3 linked regions of the Oryctolagus cuniculus genome follow. The protein of the gene in region 2 purifies or fractionates together with the protein of the main gene of each other region. This does not show direct contact. Links are inferred from orthologs where the notes say so. Each region holds a gene or a part of one and is shown on either strand. Other genes may lie near its edges.

The links. The genes of interacting proteins can lie anywhere in the genome.
Region 1: the proteins of SNX4 (region 2) and SNX30 purify together in Homo sapiens (co-immunoprecipitation; 4 studies listed by BioGRID and IntAct, counting the BioPlex papers as one, with this or other methods). This does not show direct contact. The link is inferred for Oryctolagus cuniculus from reciprocal best matches to the Homo sapiens genes SNX4 and SNX30.
Region 3: the proteins of SNX4 (region 2) and SNX7 purify together in Homo sapiens (affinity purification with mass spectrometry; 3 studies listed by BioGRID and IntAct, counting the BioPlex papers as one, with this or other methods). This does not show direct contact. The link is inferred for Oryctolagus cuniculus from reciprocal best matches to the Homo sapiens genes SNX4 and SNX7.

The regions. Positions count from the first base shown.
Region 1 is NC_091432.1:216,286,290-216,291,778, reverse strand, and holds the start of SNX30 (sorting nexin-30), read right to left. Parts: upstream 3,430-5,489; 5' UTR 3,279-3,429; coding exon 3,123-3,278; intron 1-3,122. UniProt on the Homo sapiens protein: Involved in the regulation of endocytosis and in several stages of intracellular trafficking. Together with SNX4, involved in autophagosome assembly.
Region 2 is NC_091435.1:81,847,744-81,853,164, forward strand, and holds the start of SNX4 (sorting nexin-4), read right to left. Parts: upstream 3,263-5,421; 5' UTR 3,223-3,262; coding exon 3,082-3,222; intron 1-3,081. UniProt on the Homo sapiens protein: Involved in the regulation of endocytosis and in several stages of intracellular trafficking. Plays a role in recycling endocytosed transferrin receptor and prevent its degradation.
Region 3 is NC_091438.1:71,810,724-71,816,248, forward strand, and holds the start of SNX7 (sorting nexin-7), read right to left. Parts: upstream 3,430-5,525; 5' UTR 3,376-3,429; coding exon 3,196-3,375; intron 2,820-3,195; exon of another isoform or gene 2,168-2,819; intron 1-2,167. UniProt on the Homo sapiens protein: Involved in the regulation of endocytosis and in several stages of intracellular trafficking. Together with SNX4, involved in autophagosome assembly by regulating trafficking and recycling of phospholipid scramblase ATG9A.

The DNA of each region.
Region 1 (5,489 bases), on a different chromosome or scaffold from region 2:
CAGCATGTAAGTCACTGCTAAAAGCACCCACATCCCACACTGGAGTGCGTGGGTTCAAGTCCTTGCTACTCTGGCTGCTAACCCAGCTCCCTGCTAGTATGTCTGGAAATGAGCTGATGATGGCTCAAATACTTGAGTCCCTGTCACCCTTGTGGGAGACCAGATTGAGCTCCAGGTTCTTGGCTCTGGCTTGGCCCAGTCCTGGTTGTTACGACCATTTGGGGAATGAACCAGCAGATGCAAGATCTCTCCCCTTCCCCCCACTTTTTAAATAAAACAAAAAGGAAGTGGGTGATGAAGGCAGAAGCTTTAAGAGGAAAGCACACAGCCATTTCAAAGATTTCAGGGGGAGTCCAGGAGACCGAAGGGGTGGGAAGTTGGTTGCAGGCTTAAGAGGTAACGGATGCGGGAAGAGGTGGTAACCACAGAGCAGGGCTCAGGTATCAAGTGTTGGGAGGCAAACAGAAGTTGGAGCTGAGTCACAGGAGAAGAGCTGGGGCCGAAGTGATTTATTTATATTGTAGGGGGAGGGGGAAGATGCAGTGATAGACGGCCTGGTGAGTTAGCTGGCATCAAAGAATCAGTCTTGGCAACACTTGGCAGATAAAAAGCATTCCTCCCGTCACACGAGGATTTGAATGACTTGAGAAGCTGGCCGGCGGAAAGTCCATCACATGCGGTCTTTCTCTCCTACCCAAGCACCGCGAAGGCCAACCGGGGTGTCAGCCAAATCAATACGCAGGGCCACCCTGTTCATGGCACCATCCCAGGCCACAGAAAGCAATTCCCTCCGCGTAACCATCCCAACCCATGAGCAGCCTTTGGATAAAGATACTCATGCTCTCCCAGAACTGAATTGACACTGAAAGCCAGTCATCCAGGATCACAAACCCCCAAAGTCCAACAAGGCTTTTTTCCGAAGACCGACAATGACTTTCCGACCGGCCCCCTGAGGACCCCACACTCCCTAGGAAAGAGAAAGCCAGGCGTACAGCACTTCCTTCCACCGCTGTGAGTCACCTCTGGAGCGCGCTAGCTTCTCTCCACAGGCGTTGCTCCAGAGTCGCAAGAGCGCATGTGCATGCCAAAACTCAAGGAAAATGTTACTCCCCTCAGAGAAAGAAATTACCATGCTTGCCCCTAAGGGAAAGTGGCTTGCTATAAATCAGACCTCTGAGACCGGTGTCTACAAGACACTCTCCATAGCTATTAGGAGCCTTATTAAATATTCAGTAATTAATAATAATGCCTACAAGAGCGTCTCTCCCAGAACTGATCCTGCAAAGGAAAGTATCAGGATACAGAATGGGCCTCACTTCCCACGGACCAACCAGATTTTGGTGGTACGGGGCGTTTGTCTCTAAGCAATTAAATGTCCGTCCTTCGAGTCAGGTGTCATCCAACAGCACGGCATCAAGCGAATGTGTAAAACAGCCAACCGTATGGCAGCCTTCACCACGGCCCCGTGATCCCCAACCCCTGGCAGTCAAGTCCAAGTATTCACACTCTTCCCCATGGCACCAGCACTGGTCTGTGTGACGGACAAGACACGGCAGAGGTACCCCCTTCCAAGGCTAGGTTATACAAGACTGGTTGGAGTCTTGGGCTCTCTTGGATCACTCTGGGGGAAATCAGCTGCCAAGTGGAACAGCCCTATGGAGAGTAAGGCCTGCCAAGAGCCACCAGGGAGCTTGGAAGAAGATCCTCCTCCAGTCCAGCCCAAATGACTACAGCCACCGGGGCGCCCTGAGTCTGGGGAACCTGCGCCCAGCTGTCTGACCCGCAGGTGCTCTTTTCCGGTGCTAAGCTGCAGAGTAACTCAGCACACAGCAATGGATCATCAACACACCACCCTACACAGAACAGAAAATCAGAAGATTTCACTCCACTTCCCATCCTACACTCATGTAAGACCAGTTTCTCTGTCCATAGGAAAGCAACCAATGATTCAAGTCATTCAACAATTAACTTTTTGAACATCAGCTAGGAGCAAGACACTTCCAACCAACATAAGCCTTCATATGGTAGCCTATAATCTTCTATAAAGAGTAATAGCCACACACACACACACACACACACACTCCTTGAGTTGCTCAAGCCAACAGTTTCACGTGCCTTTTGAGTTTTCTTGTTCTTAATTCTTTGCTTTCACAAACCCTCTGGGAAGCCACTCGCAAGTTAGTCTGAGCGCCCAGAGCCCTTGGGGCTGTAAGGCTATCGGGTTTTATTTTCTCAGACTCGTTTTTGCCGTATCACACACCTTTACATCTCAGGAGAGAACGAAGTCACAGCTCCCTTGATCCTAGGAACACTGGACAAGGAGGAATTCACTGAGAATTCGGCCAGGACGCGGAAGTGCTGGGGACCAGGCTGACTTAGGAGCAGCAGCAGCCCCGACACAATCGCTGAACTGGCAAGGGGGGGCAGGGAGATGCCGCCCCTTGCCCTTTGCCCCTCAAAGCAGCAGGGCAGCTGTGCGGTGCTGAGACCATCAGGGGCCTCCCCGTGCACAAAGAAGGTCAAAGGGCGAGCTTTCTTTCCCTCAACCACAAAACCTGCCCCGGCCAAACCTAAATTGTGCGGTAGGCGTAGGCCGTCGGAGACCAAGGGAGCCCCAGACGGAAAACCACAGACAGCCTCGCCAGCCGGGTCTGGGTCAGGTGACCGCCAGGGCAAACAGCAAACTAAACAAAGATCACTCCACACACTACCCACCGGGCAGGAGGAGGCTCCCGCAGGCACACAGCCGCGGAGTCGGGGAACTGGAGGCGCCCCAAGTCCCTCGGCAGCTCGGCTCCCACCCAGGACGCGCGCCCCGCAACGCACACACGTCTCCGCCCCCACGCGCAGGCTGGACCCCTCCCCAGCAGCTGTCACCGGCGCTCGCGCCCCGACTCAGCCACGGCAGCGTCCTCTCCGGCCGCTCCCCCCTCGCCTGCGACCGCGACCCCACGGGGGGCGACAAAGATGCTTTACCCGGGCGCTCCGGGGGCGAGCGTACGCCCGTCCTCCGGAAAGGGGCGCGCCACGCTGGGCGCGACCCCGTGCCCAAGGTGGCTGCGGATCCATCATCTCTGCCCCCACCCCCTGCCCCGGACGGTCCCCAGCCCCGTGAGCCCCACCTTGTCACCGAAGCTGCGGGCCATCAGCAGGTCCGGGCTGGGCGTGCTGTCGCCGCCCATGGCCTCCTCGCTGCTGGAGCCGGCCAGCGGGTGCTGCACGTCTCGCAGGGATTGGGGCCCCGTGGACGGCAGGGCCTTGGGGGGCCCGCCCGCCATGGCAAGCGCCGTTTGGGACGCGCCGACAGCTCCCCGCGCGCCCCGGGGCCGAGGCCCCGCTCAGCCGCCGCTCGGTCGGAGGCCCTGCACTGCTGGGGCTGGCAGCCGCTGCCCGCCGCTCGCCTCTGCCCGCGCGGGGCTGGGCTGCCAGGCTGCTGGGCCGCTGCGCGCCGCGCGCCCCCGCTCCGCGCTCGCGCCCGCGCCCGCCGCGGGTCCGCCGGCACCTTGGCCCCAGCGCCCGGCCCACCCCGCCACGCCGCCCACCACCCGCTCGCGGCCCCGCCCCCTGGCGTCTCAGCCGCCCGGGAGGGGGCGGGGAGACGCGCGGCTCCGCCCCCGCCCGGCGCCCGGCAGGAAGTGCGCGCTGGGCCCCGGGCCGCGGACCTCCGGGCGTCCAGCTCGCCCGGCTGGGAGGCTGGCTCGGTGCAGGCTGAGCGAAGCCCCCAGGGCAAATGTTTAACGGAAATCCCCGGTGGAAGGATCCTGTTCCATTTCGCCCGCGGCAGCCACGCCTGGGGCCCAGGGCTTGGTGGGCCCGGGAGTGGAGGTGTCCTGGCCCCTGTTGCACGTGCAGAAGGGACCCAAGATAGAAGGCTCAAGGGTCATGAGGGTCAAAGGAGCCGGGGAACGCCCCCAGGCCACCTTGCTTCCTCCGCTGTAAAGATCCGCATCAATAAAGAACGAGAAAGGAGAAAGGGCTACCGATGACTTATGACTCCTAGACTTAGACTGCTAAGCTCAAGTTGTTTGTTCTGCTTCCTTCCCAGGCCTTTGGCTGAGCTGCTTAATCAGCTTTACTTGCTGGCCTGGTGGAGGATGTCCGGGCATTACTTCCAGCTCTTTGGGGTGTAGTACGTTCACCTCCTTCTGCCACCTCACTTTGTCTCTGCAGACAAAGTAGAAACTGACCCAATATACAGTCACTCACTGAGCTTCAAAGACCTCCCTGGATCTCTCCCGGTCTGCTTCAGGCAGTTGGACCTGTAGCCTTCAAACTGTGTTGGTTTATGTCTCCCACGTGGTCTGCCATGGCTGGGAAAAGAAGGTGCTGGGAACAATGTTAAGTGCTGCATCTGGCTCACAGGCATGCTGGCATCTGGGCCTCTTGGAGCTGGGTAAAACTGTCAGAGCTTTTAGATTCCGGGGCAGTTTACAAACCACCACTGAATTAGCACTAAAATATACAGCACCAGGCAGGCATCTGGCCTAGCGGTTAAGACACTGGTTGGGTTGCCCATAGCCCACGTCGGAGTGCCTGGGTTCCAGTCCCGACATCCTGCTAATGTGCACCGTGGGAGGCAGCAGGTGATGGCTCAAGTATTGAGCCCCTGCCACCCACCCACGTGGGAGACCCAGATGAAGTTCCAACCACCATCACTTTTGCAGCCATTTGGGGAGTGCACTAGCTGATGAAAGATCTCTCCCTCCCTATCTCTCTCTCTCATTCTCTGTTATTCTGCCTTTCAAATAAGATAAATCTTACATTTTTTTTTAAATCTTTTTTTTTTTTTTGACAGGCAGAGTGGACAGTGAGAGAGAGAGACAGAGAGAGAAAGGTCTTCCTTTGCCATTGGTTCACCCTCCAATGGCCGCCGCTGCAGCCGGCGCACCGTGCTGATCCGATGGCAGGAGCCAGGAGCCAGGTGCTTTTCCTGGTCTCCCATGGGGTGCAGGGCCCAAGCACCTGGGCCATCCTCCACTGCACTCCCTGGCCATAGCAGAGAGCTGGCCTGGAAGAGGGGCAACCGGGACAGAATCCGGCACCCCAACCGGGACTAGAACCCGGTGTGCCGGCGCTGCAAGGTGGAGGATTAGCCTATTGAGCCACGGCGCCGGCTCGATAAATCTTACATTTTAAAAAAATGCACACACCTTTCTCCTCAAGACACCAGAAAAAAAGGGAGGGGGCAGAGAGACCTATATTTGAATTCCTGCTTCATCGCTAAAGTGACCATGAGCAAGTTCACCTCAACAAACCTGTTTCCCAACCTCTGATGGAGAGCAGGTAGTAATACTTTCTGAGAGGTGGCTGCGAGAGAGAAATAGCACTCTCCATGTCGTGTGCCTAGCAGAATGCCGGTGTGGGGTCAGTGTTTGCTGAATGTCGCTCCTTTCCCCATCAAACATCCTCCACTACTCTTATTATGAAGTAATAACCAAAGGGTTTTCATAATTAGATATGCTGCACTCCAAACTCTGCTCACTTGAGGT
Region 2 (5,421 bases):
TTCCAGCTTCCCGCTAATGCCCACTCTGGGACACAGCAGGTGATGGCTCAAGTACTTGGGTCCCTGCCACCCTTCCTGTCTCTGAGCTTCAGCCTGGCCCAGTGCTGGCTGTTGTGGGCATCTGGGGAGTAAGACAGCAGATGAGATGTCTCTCTGTCTCTTTGCCTTCCAAATAAATAAGTTAAAAAAATTGTAAGTGTGAGATTTATTTAAAAAAAAAAAAGGAATATCTACAAAGTGGCAGGCTGCAGTCATGAAAACAAACTAAACCACATTTTAGACGAATCTCAAAGGAAAGGGAATCACAGAAAAATGAATCCACATATGTAGTCTCAAAAATCAGCAAAAACCTAAATAATTCAAAAAGTTTGTGGAAAAAAATAGAATTTAGATTTGATTAAAAAAAAGAAATTGAAATCCATGCAGTTTTCTCACAGTATACATTTTCTATTACCTTTTTGAAGACCTCCTCATACACTGTTTAGGGATACATATGGAAACATAATAACCAAAAGCAAGAATTAACCAGCACAAAATTCAGAATACTGGGTAGGCACTATGGTTTTGTGGGCTAAGCCTCTGCCTGCTGCACCGGCATCCCACGTGGCACTGGTTTGTGTCCTGGCTGCTCCTCTTCCAATCCAGCTCTCTGCTATGGCCTGGGAAAGCAGTAGATGGCCCAAGTGCTTGGGCCCCTGCACCCGTGTGGGAGACCCAGAGAAGCTCCTGGCTCTTGGCTTTGGATCTGCCCAGCTCCAGCCATTGCGGCCATTTGGGGAGTGAACCAACAGATGGAAGTCCTTACTCTCTGTCTCTCCCTCTCTGTCTGCAACTCTAGCTCTCAAAAAAATAAATCTTTAAAAATAAATAAATAAAATTTTAAAAAGTTAGAATACTGGTTAACTGTGGTGGAGGAAAGGAGCTGGAATACAAGAGAATGGATGGAGTCTTCAAAGGAACTGTTAATTATTTTGTGACAGCCTTGTTTGCATACTGATATAATTTGAATGCACACTATTTTCAAAAGAAAGATTATGTCATGGGTGAGAATCTACATTAAAAAATCATGTAACAGTCAAATTTATGCACTGACAGAATATACACTTCTCTCACATTTAATATGAGATCCTTTGACCACTCCACAAATAATTCTAAAATTTAGGGAAAAATGAAATGGAAAGGTAAAACTCAACAACAGAAAAACCACCTAATTTTTAGAAGGGGCAAAAGTCCTTCCTACCAGACACATCACCAAAGATTCACAGATAGCAAACAAGCCCACACAAAGATGGTCCCCATCAGCTGTCCTCAGGGAAACGCAATCAAAACACGGAAATCCCCATCCACGGTGGCCCAAGTCGAGAACACCGACAACACCAATGGCTGATGAGGATGTCTAGAACACAAACTCTCACTTATCTCTGGTGGGAAGGTAAAGTCAAGTTGGCAGCTTCTCCAAAAAACATGCTGGTACCAAATGACCCAGTGATCACGCTACTTGGCATTCACCCAAAGGAGTTAAAAACTTATGTCCACACAGAAACCTGTACACACACACGTTTACAGCAGCTTTATTCCTAACTGCCAAAACTCCAAAGTGCCAAGGTGTACCCCAGTAAGTGAATGGATAAACAAACTGGTACATGCAGACAACGGACGATTCCTCAGTGCTAAAAAGAACAGAACTACTCAGCTATGAAAAGCCATGAGGGACCTCAAATGCTCACTACAAAGTGAAAGATGCCAATCTCAGTATGAGTCCAGCTCCCTGGCAGACTGGGAAAGCCACAACTACGGAAACAGTTAGATCAGTGGTTGCCAGCAGTTGAGGGGAAAGACCAACCAACAGGCAGAGCCCAGAGGATCTTCATGGCAATGAAGAGAGAGAGGCTATTGCAATGGTGGACACGGGTAAGGTCTGTCCAACACGAGGAGTCAGCACTAATGTAAACTGTGGACCTGGAGTGATAAGGCCTGCCAGCGAGGGAACAAAAGCACACTCACACACTTGGTTGTGGGCTGGGCCCCTGCAGAAGGCTCAGTACCCCCCCGCCAGGCAGGGGGCATGTGGGCATCTCAACACCGTTCTCTCATTTTTGCTGCTGCCAACCTAAGCACTCCTTTAAAAAAATGGGTTTTTAACCTAAAGAAAAATTACAAGCATATCATACCGTAAACAAGTCTTCCTGCTCCTCTCCCTACCTTGGTATTTTCCTCAGTAGGCCAAATCTTTAACTCCTGTTTCAGCTGAAATCCGTGGCAAGCCGAAGAGGCCTCCTAGCTACATCCAATGAACAGCTTTGCTTTATCCATCACACGGATGGGCAGTTTAACATGGGGCCCGCCATTCGATCAAGAAAAACCCAAAATGACTGGATGAGCAATGCCCAAGGCAGGAGCCTCCGGGTCGGTGGTCTGCAAATCCCGCCACGTACGTGAAAAACACTTTGGACCGGAAGCGCTTACAAATCTAAGACGGTACGTTTTTCCCCTTTTACTTTCTAGCAAATGAAAATCACCACCACAGGAACTGTCCCAAGCGGCTACACACACGGAACACCGAGGAGCCTCCAAATCACGCCCCCAATTCAAGAAATTAAAGCCAAATGAGGTGTTTGGAAAATGTGCCTTCAATTTTATCTTCTCCTGAACCTGACCCGTTCTTCAGTTTCCTGATGGGCGGTAGCACCGGGCCAACCACCCTGAGAGCCCCGAGATGCGCGCCTCATCCCACTCCCCAACCCCTCCCCTCTCAAGCCCCCACAAACCCACCGCCCCTGAAACTCCACGCCTGCCCTTCTCTCGACCGCTGAAACCCACGCCCCTCCAGCCTCAGCGCCCCAGCGCCGCACCCCCACGTCCCCTGCCCTGGGTCCCCGCAGCGCCGACGCTCGCCCCCCACCCCAGGGGTCCCCAGTCCCCACTGAGCCTTCCGCCCACAGCAGCTGCGGCCCCGCAGCCCCAGCACAGCGGCCCCCCGGGCCGAAGCCCTCAGCCTCCGCCAGCCCAGCCCTGCCCTGCCCAGCCCAGCCCGCTAGGCCCAGACACAGGCCCCGAGGCCTCGGCCGCCCTCCTCCTCACCGTGTCGGCCCCGGAGCCCTCTTCCTTGGCCCCGTCCGCGCCCTCCCCGACCGCAGCCTCCAGCCCAGCGTCGGAGCTGCCTAGCGGCTCCAGGGGCGCAGGCTGCAGCTGCCGCTCGGGGTCCGGAGGTGCCTGCTCCATGGCTGCAGTTCCGCGCGCCGAGCCCAGTGCGCCTGCGCCGCCGCCGGGGCCGCCGCCGCCCCGCCCCTCCCGGCCCGCCCCAGGGGGGGCGCGACCCGGGTGCGTTCCCCGAGCGGGACTGGTGACAGATGGGCCGGTGGAGGAAGCGTTTGGCTCCCGAGTCAGGAGAATCAGAAATCTAGGAGAACTCGTAGAGGTAGGGAAGACAGAGAGAGAGAGAAACAAGCAGGGAAGGTGAACACCAGAAGCAGGCATGGGAACCATTCCGTGGACGCAGAGGAAGCTGAAGGCTGTGGTCCGACCATCCCCCCTCTCGGCCCCTGCCTGGACTCCAATTATTATTATTGTTATTTAAAGATTTATTTATTTATTTTAAAGTCAGAGCTACAGAGAGGCAGCGGGGGGTGGGGTGGGGGGGAAAGTCTTTGATTCACTAATTCACTCCCCTAGTGACTGCAATGTCCAGAGCTGTGCCAATCCGAAGCCGGGAGCCTCCTCCTGGTCTCCCATATGGGTGCAGGGGCCCAAGGACTTGGGCCATCTTCTGCTTTCCCAGGCCATAGCAGAGAGCTAGATCAGAAGAGGAGCAGCTGCAACTAGAACCAATGCCCATGTGGGATGCCAGAGCTGCAGGCGTCGGCCCAACCCTGATGACATTTAATATATATCCCTTCAAGTATTATATATACATACAAATATATACATATATACAGTAAAAATGGGATCACACTATAAAGCTATTTGATTTTTTTAAAAAATATTTAAAGATTTATTTATTTGAAAGGCAGAGTTTCAGAAAGGAGGGAGTGAGAGAGAAATCTTCCATCTGCTGGTTCACTCTGCAAATCGATACAACTCTCAGGGCTGGGCCAGGCCAAGGCCAGGAGCCAGGAGCTTCCTCTAAGTCTCCCACATAGGGGTGCAGGGGCACAAACACTTGGGCCATTCTCTGCTTTCCCTGGCACATTTGCAGTGAGCTGGATCAGAAGTGGAGAAGCTGGACTTGAACCTGTGCCCATACGGGATGCCAGTGCTGCAGGCCATGGCTTGAACCCACTGCATTACAGCATTGGCCCCTAAAATAATTTTTTAAAGATGCATTTTATTTATTTGAAAGGCAGAGTGACAGAGAAAGAAGTGTCTTCCATTTGCTGGTTCATTCCCTGAATGGCTACCTCAACCAGGTCTGGACCAGGCCAAAGCCAGGAGACAGGAACTTCATATGCATTTCCCAGGTGGGTGGCAGGCATCCAAACACATGGGCCATCTTCCACTGCCTTCCCAGGTACATTAGCAGGGAGCTGGATCAGAAGCAGAATAGCCAGGACTAGAACCGGTACTCCTGTATGGGATGTCAGCATCACCAGTGGTATATCCTGCTACACCACAATGCCAGTCCCCAATTTTTTTAAACTATTTTTTTTGAAAGTCAGAGTTATGCAGAGAGAGGAGAGGCAAAAAGAGAGAGAGAGAAGTCTTCCATCCAATGGTTCACTTCTTAATTGGCTGCAATGGCAGGAGCTGCGCCGATCTGAAGCCAGGAGCCAGGAGCTTCTTCCTGGTCTCCCACACAGGTGCAGGAGCCCAAGGTTGTGGGCCATCATCTACTGCTTTCCCAGGCCACAGCAGAGAGCTGGATGGGAAGTGGAGCAGCCGGGTCTCGGACCTGCACCCGTATGGGATGCCGATGCTTCAGGCCAGGGCATTAACCTGCTGCGCCACAGCACCAGCCCCTTAAACTCTTTTTAAAAAAGGTTTACTGGCCGGCGCCGCGGCTCACTAGGCTAATCCTCCGCCTTGCAGTGCCAGCACACCGGGTTCTAGTCCTGATGGGGGCGCCGGATTCTGTCCCGCTTGCCCCTCTTCCAGGCCAGCTCTCTGCTGTGGCCAGGGAGTGCAGTGGAGGATGGCCCAAGTGCTTGGGCCCTGCACCCCATGGGAGACCAGAAGTACCTGGCTCTCTGGGAGACCAGAAGTACCTGGCTCCTGCCATCGGATCAGTGTGGTGCGTCGGCCGCAGCACACCAGCCGCGGTGGCCATTGGAGGGTGAACCAACAGCAAAGGAAGACCTTTCTCTCTCTCTCTCTCTCACTGTCCACTCTGCCTGTCAAAAAAAAAAAAATTTACTTATTTTTTTTTTATTTGACAGGTAACTAGAACCTGGCGCCCACATGGGATGCCGGCCCTGCAGCAGAAGA
Region 3 (5,525 bases), on a different chromosome or scaffold from region 2:
AAAGGAAAATGTTTTCCTTGAAGTATAATGAAACTGGCCCTTTTTCTCTAGTTAAATTTTTCTAAGCCTCATTTCACTTTGGCCTAGTTCTTACACAAGTCTTTAATATGCCACTATTTATATCTTTTTTCTCTTCATGTGTTTTATTGTTTCTAGATCACCAGTCATCTTCTCCTCCCTTCTAACATCTATACTTACTCTTTCAAATCAATAGCATCTGCAGGTCTCCTGAGTTTGACATCATTCTCTCCTCAGTGGATTATTTGCAAACTCAAAACACCATTTGGTTACACTTTCCATTCATCTTCACTTCTAGGGCCATTTAGACTGTCTTCTCCCCTAAATTGCCAGATTGTGATAGCCAGAATTGAATCTTGCATGTTTTTCTAAGAACACATAGCACAACATATTTTATAAAACTATGTATTTCTAATGTATTGTAGGAAGAAAAGGAATAATAAAGCAAAGTTCATATTCTTTTAAAAAGTCTGGAGGAGGATAACAGAAATACTTTTACAAATCATCTAAAGGAGGAGCAGGGAATGTTTTTTCTGCCTGGGGCCATTTTGATATTCATATCATTCATAGGCCATGCAAAATTATCGACTTAAAAGTTACCCTGCTATTGGGGCCGGCTCCTCAGCATAGCAGGTTAAGCCTCTGTCTGCTGTGCCAGCATCCCATATGGTGCCGGTTCAGGTCCTAGCTGCTTCACTTCCTATCAAGCTCCCTGCTCATGAGCCTGGGAAAGCCATGGAAGATGGCCTAAGTCCTTAGGTCCCCAAACTCCCATGGGAGACCTAGAAGAAGCTTCTGGCTCCTGGCTTTGGCCTGGTCCAGCCCTGATTGCTTTGGCCATTTGGGGAGTGAAACAACACATGCAAGATCTCTCTCTCTGTCTTTCTCTGCCTTTCAAATAAATGAGTAAATATAAATTTTTTAAAAATTAGCCCGCTATAGATTAGTTGAATTTCGACTCCCACCTACGGTTGCCTTGACAGGGCCAGACCAAAGGATTCTGCAGGCCTTACATGGCCCATGGGCCAGACTGTACCTACCCCATCTAAGGGAATAAAGAGGCTACAAATGTGAATGCAAACTGAATATGAAAGTGGTGGATGTTAAAGTACTTGAGGACAGAAACAGACTGCTACATAAACAATTGTTAATTAATATCCTTGGGTGGACTGACTGCAGTGGACTTCTAGAGAGAAGCAGGCTAAAAAGTGGGAAGAGGAAAGGATAGGCAAATGGAGACTGCCTTGCATTTGCTTGTCTAACGATGGTTTATGGCTGAAATTCTTAACTTACTGTAACATAAGTAGATGGTCAGTTTTAAAGTTTCTCAAATACAGTGACCTTTCCAAACTTTGAACACTATTATGCCCTTAGCTCAATCTACATGGCCAGTTTAAGTTATACAACATGAACAAGCAAGGTAGATCCAGCTGTACTAGCCTGAGGCTCTCTTTTAAAAAGAATACAAAATTTGGCAGAAAAACCAAATTTTACTTAGAAATCTCAATAGATGAACCTGACCATGCAGATCTAGATTTCCTACTCTGAGGCAGCTTTAGGTGATTTATCAGAAGTGCTCCTGGTTGCAACCTGGCTTGTCCATTCCACCTAAAACAGCCGCAACTCCAGCAACTCCAAACATTGCCAGAGGCCAGGGGAAGAAGAGTTGGAAGCTTGAATTTCATCAGCTTCGCCCATGCCCACCTCTGACCTCACGAACACAGTAATTCTCAAGAGCTGGCTGGGACTCTTAAGAGAGACCACCCATTGGGTTAGGGTTAAAACAATTCCAGATGATTCTGATACACAACTGCCACTCCCAGCACTCCACGCCCCCCAGCACACACACACACACTGTTGCCAGTTTCCCAATGCATAGCCATGAAGTAAGACCCACAGACTTAAAGGGCAAAAAAAAAAAAAAAAAAAAAAAAAGAAGAAGAAATCAACCAACTGCCCAATTGTCCCAGATCTGAACATAAAGGATATGTGAAATGTAAGACAGTGTTAACCTTTTACAACCAATGTAAAATAACTGCATTATTTTATGATGTAAATAAACTAAAAAGTCAGGAGACAGACACCCTGAAATCTAGACTAGGACTGGGCCTACCATTCCATTTATTCCCTAAGAAAACATAAATCCCACACATTCCTTTGGGAGTGAGCATATGTGTGCTCCCTGTCTTACTTGGGCTGGCTCTCCCATCGCCAGGGCAGCTGTGAGGTCTGAAGGCTGCTGCACCCAGCATCTCAGGGTAGCATCTGACTACTGCACAGCCTTCTTCACAACAAGATTCCGAGCGGAACTCAAGTCTTCTTCAAGCAGCATCTGCAGACTGGAGTTTCAGCCAACCGCCCCACTGGCATTTTTCTTTTCCAAAAGTCTTTAAGAAATGATAACCATCAGTCTACCCACACCAAAATTCTACAAGAAAACGCCAAGAAGTCAATTTCCCCGCAAGTCTAACACAAGCTTGGAAGGGCATGTGGTACTAGACTTCCAGTGGGAAAGGAAGGGAAAACAAAACGAAAGCGCTGGCTGTGGGCTTGGTGGCCCCAGCGACCATCTGCAAAGTCCTGGGCTGAGCAGCCCAGGGGCTTCCTGTGAGCCTGATTCCAGCCGCCGCCTCCTGTTGGGGGGATGGCCTCGCACCCATTCCCGCTGGACTGGAGACACGCCTCGGGTGTCACCCAAGTCTCCAATCCACAACCAGCAGCACGAAATCAAAATAATGTCTCTTCGCTCAGCTGATCTCTCTCCCGGAGTCCAGGGCTGGCCAGCCCCCGAAAAGAAGCTGGTAAGGGCGAGGGCAGTTTCGGGCCGCCAGCCTCTGGGGTACGGGTACTGTCGAGAGATGTCCGTGTCAGCGAAGCGCAGAGCGAAACAAATCACAACTTTGCACACTCCACGGAGCACGGCCCTGCGGAGCGGAAGGTCAAAGTGCGGAAAAGGGAGCGGCTACAGTTGGGAACCCCGCGGGGACGCAGCCCCGGGTGCCAGGAGAGAGTCCCGGAGGGGTCCCACAGCCTGGGGCTGGCCGCACCCACCTCCAGCCCCGAGCCTCCGCGCGGGGAGGGCGGGCGCGCGGGAGGCAGCCGCCAGCGCAGCGGTGACAACTCGCGGAGTTGCCTCGGAACTTTCCCGGGACGCGCCGCCTCCGCCGCCGCCCTCACCTTACTGAACACCTCCAGGTCGTCCTCGTCCTCGTCTAGATCCAGCACCTCAGACTGCAGCAGGGCGGAGGAGCCGCTGCTGCCCGCGAAGGGGGCGCCGCCCCCCGGGCTCTCCCCGTCGGCGCCCCCGGCCGGGAGGCCCGAGGAGCGCGCCTGAGATGCCCGGCGCTCGCCCTCCATCCCGAGAGTGCGCGCCCGGCCGCCGCCGCCGCCGCCAGCCCGGCACCCCCGAGCGTGCCCATTGGCTCCCGCGCATCCTGCGCCTCCCCGGCCGGCCCCGCTCCAGCCCCTCGCCCGCTGCGCAGACGCGGAACTGCCGGGGCCAGCGCCCGGCCGGGCAGGGTGGCCGCGGGCCGGAGTGCGTCCCCGCCCGGCCTGAAGCTGGCGAGAGGGTAGGGGTGGGACGGTGGGGCTGCCGGCGCGGGTTGGGAGAAGGCCGACCGCCCCTGGAAGGTAAGAGACGGGCGGCCCGCACTGTCCCAGCCGACTGTTTCCGCGGCGGCGGGCTCTGGGAAAGAGGCCACCGAGCAAAGCGTCCGCTTCGCGGGATCCACAGCGAGGCTGGCAGGCAGAGAGGAAAAAAATAAAAAAATCTGTGTTTCCTGTGGTTAATGGTTGCCTGCCTTCTTGGTTGTGATTTTCGAGTCTGTCCCTGTTCACCTAATGTAAAAATAACAAACATGAAAACCTCCTCATTTTGTGATCGATTTTAAACCCAGTAACAGGCCCGCGGTCATTTCACTATCAAACAAAGGAAGCTGAGATCTAAAAACTGCCTTCAGCCACTTTCAAACGCGTCTTTACTCCAGGAAGTCTTCCTGAAGTTGATGAGCAAGAATGTTCTTAAGAGCCAAGAGCAGCCAGCGGGGCTGGACGCTGCTGGGGAAAATGATCTTCAGCCCTTGCTCTGCCAGTGCACAGCTATAATTTTTCAGTTGCAACATTGTTATTTAAACAAAAATAAGTGAACTCCAAAAATAGTGGAAGATCAAATGCAAAGTGGAGTATTTTTAAAACATCAGGTTTTCTCATTTACTGCTTTTCATCCCGTCTCCTCCATAAGCCCTGTCTAAACTTTTCTAAAAAATTAAAGACTATATGTAGGAAAGCCCTATTTGGGTAAGTGGAGAATACCTTCATTTCTGATCCGAGGACATGGTCTTAATAATGTACAACCGCTTAACCATTCAAAAGTACCTCTCGTTGGCTTCAGGACAGGGACCCACCTTGTAGTCAGGTTAGTCATTGGCCAAAGAACATCCACACTTGTTCTTGACCTTTCTGGTTCCCTACCCGTCTGTCCCATCTCTTTCAGAAAGACTTGCCAAGTGACAATTGGTTCCCAATTCAACATTTAGTTTTAGTCTGTCTTACAGATTGGATTTGTTTCATACATGTCTTACATCCCTTAGTAAACAATAAGATTTATAGGTCAAAGATCACAATATGTATTGATAAACCACAGTATCACACGTATGCACTCAAATAGTCTCTGCTAAGGCTTATAAGGAATACAAGTTATTGAAACACTGTTTTTCCTGTCTAAGTTCCTTCTGGCTAGTGAGGCAGATTCAAGATCTCCTAATTGCAGTGTAAACCAGGAAATTCTTAATGATACCATGACTCACAGAATTCCCAGGAAGCATAGAGAACAAACAAGACCAGAAAGTGGCCAGACCAAGCCAGAGCTGCACAGCCCGGCTCACAGGCAAAACCGTACCACAGAACCAATGGCACAGGCTTTGCTGCCACCATTGCCTGGTATTAGATGCCACACCTCCTTCACATACTGCCATTGACACCTGTGGCACCACATTTCAGGTGTTAGCCCTGACTCTAGTACCATAGCTGCCTTTGAGAATCTCACCTGCTGTTGCTGCCACAAAAAAAAAAAAAAAAAAATCCCCACAATTCCATTTCTCTGTGTTGTTAGGTGTAGATTCAAAATCCCAGAGGAAGGGTATATCTTTAGCTTACAGGTAAGATGCTCAGATCCCATGTTGTAGCTCTGGATTCAAAGCTTAGTTCCAGCTCCTGACTCCAGCTTCCTGCCAGTGCAAACCCTGGAGGCAGCAGTGGTGGTTAAAGTAATTGGGTTCCTGCCAACTACATGAAAGACCTGGATGGAGTTTCCTGCTCCCAGGCTTCAGCCTGGCCCAGCCCCAGCCAGTGTATGTGGGGAATAAACCAGTGGATGACAATTTATGTCTCTCTCTCAGCCTGCTTTTTTTTTTTTTTAAGATTTATTTTATTCATTTGAACAACAGAATTACAAAGAGGTAGACACAGAGAGAGAGTTCTTCCATCTGCTGGCTTCCCCCTAAATAGCC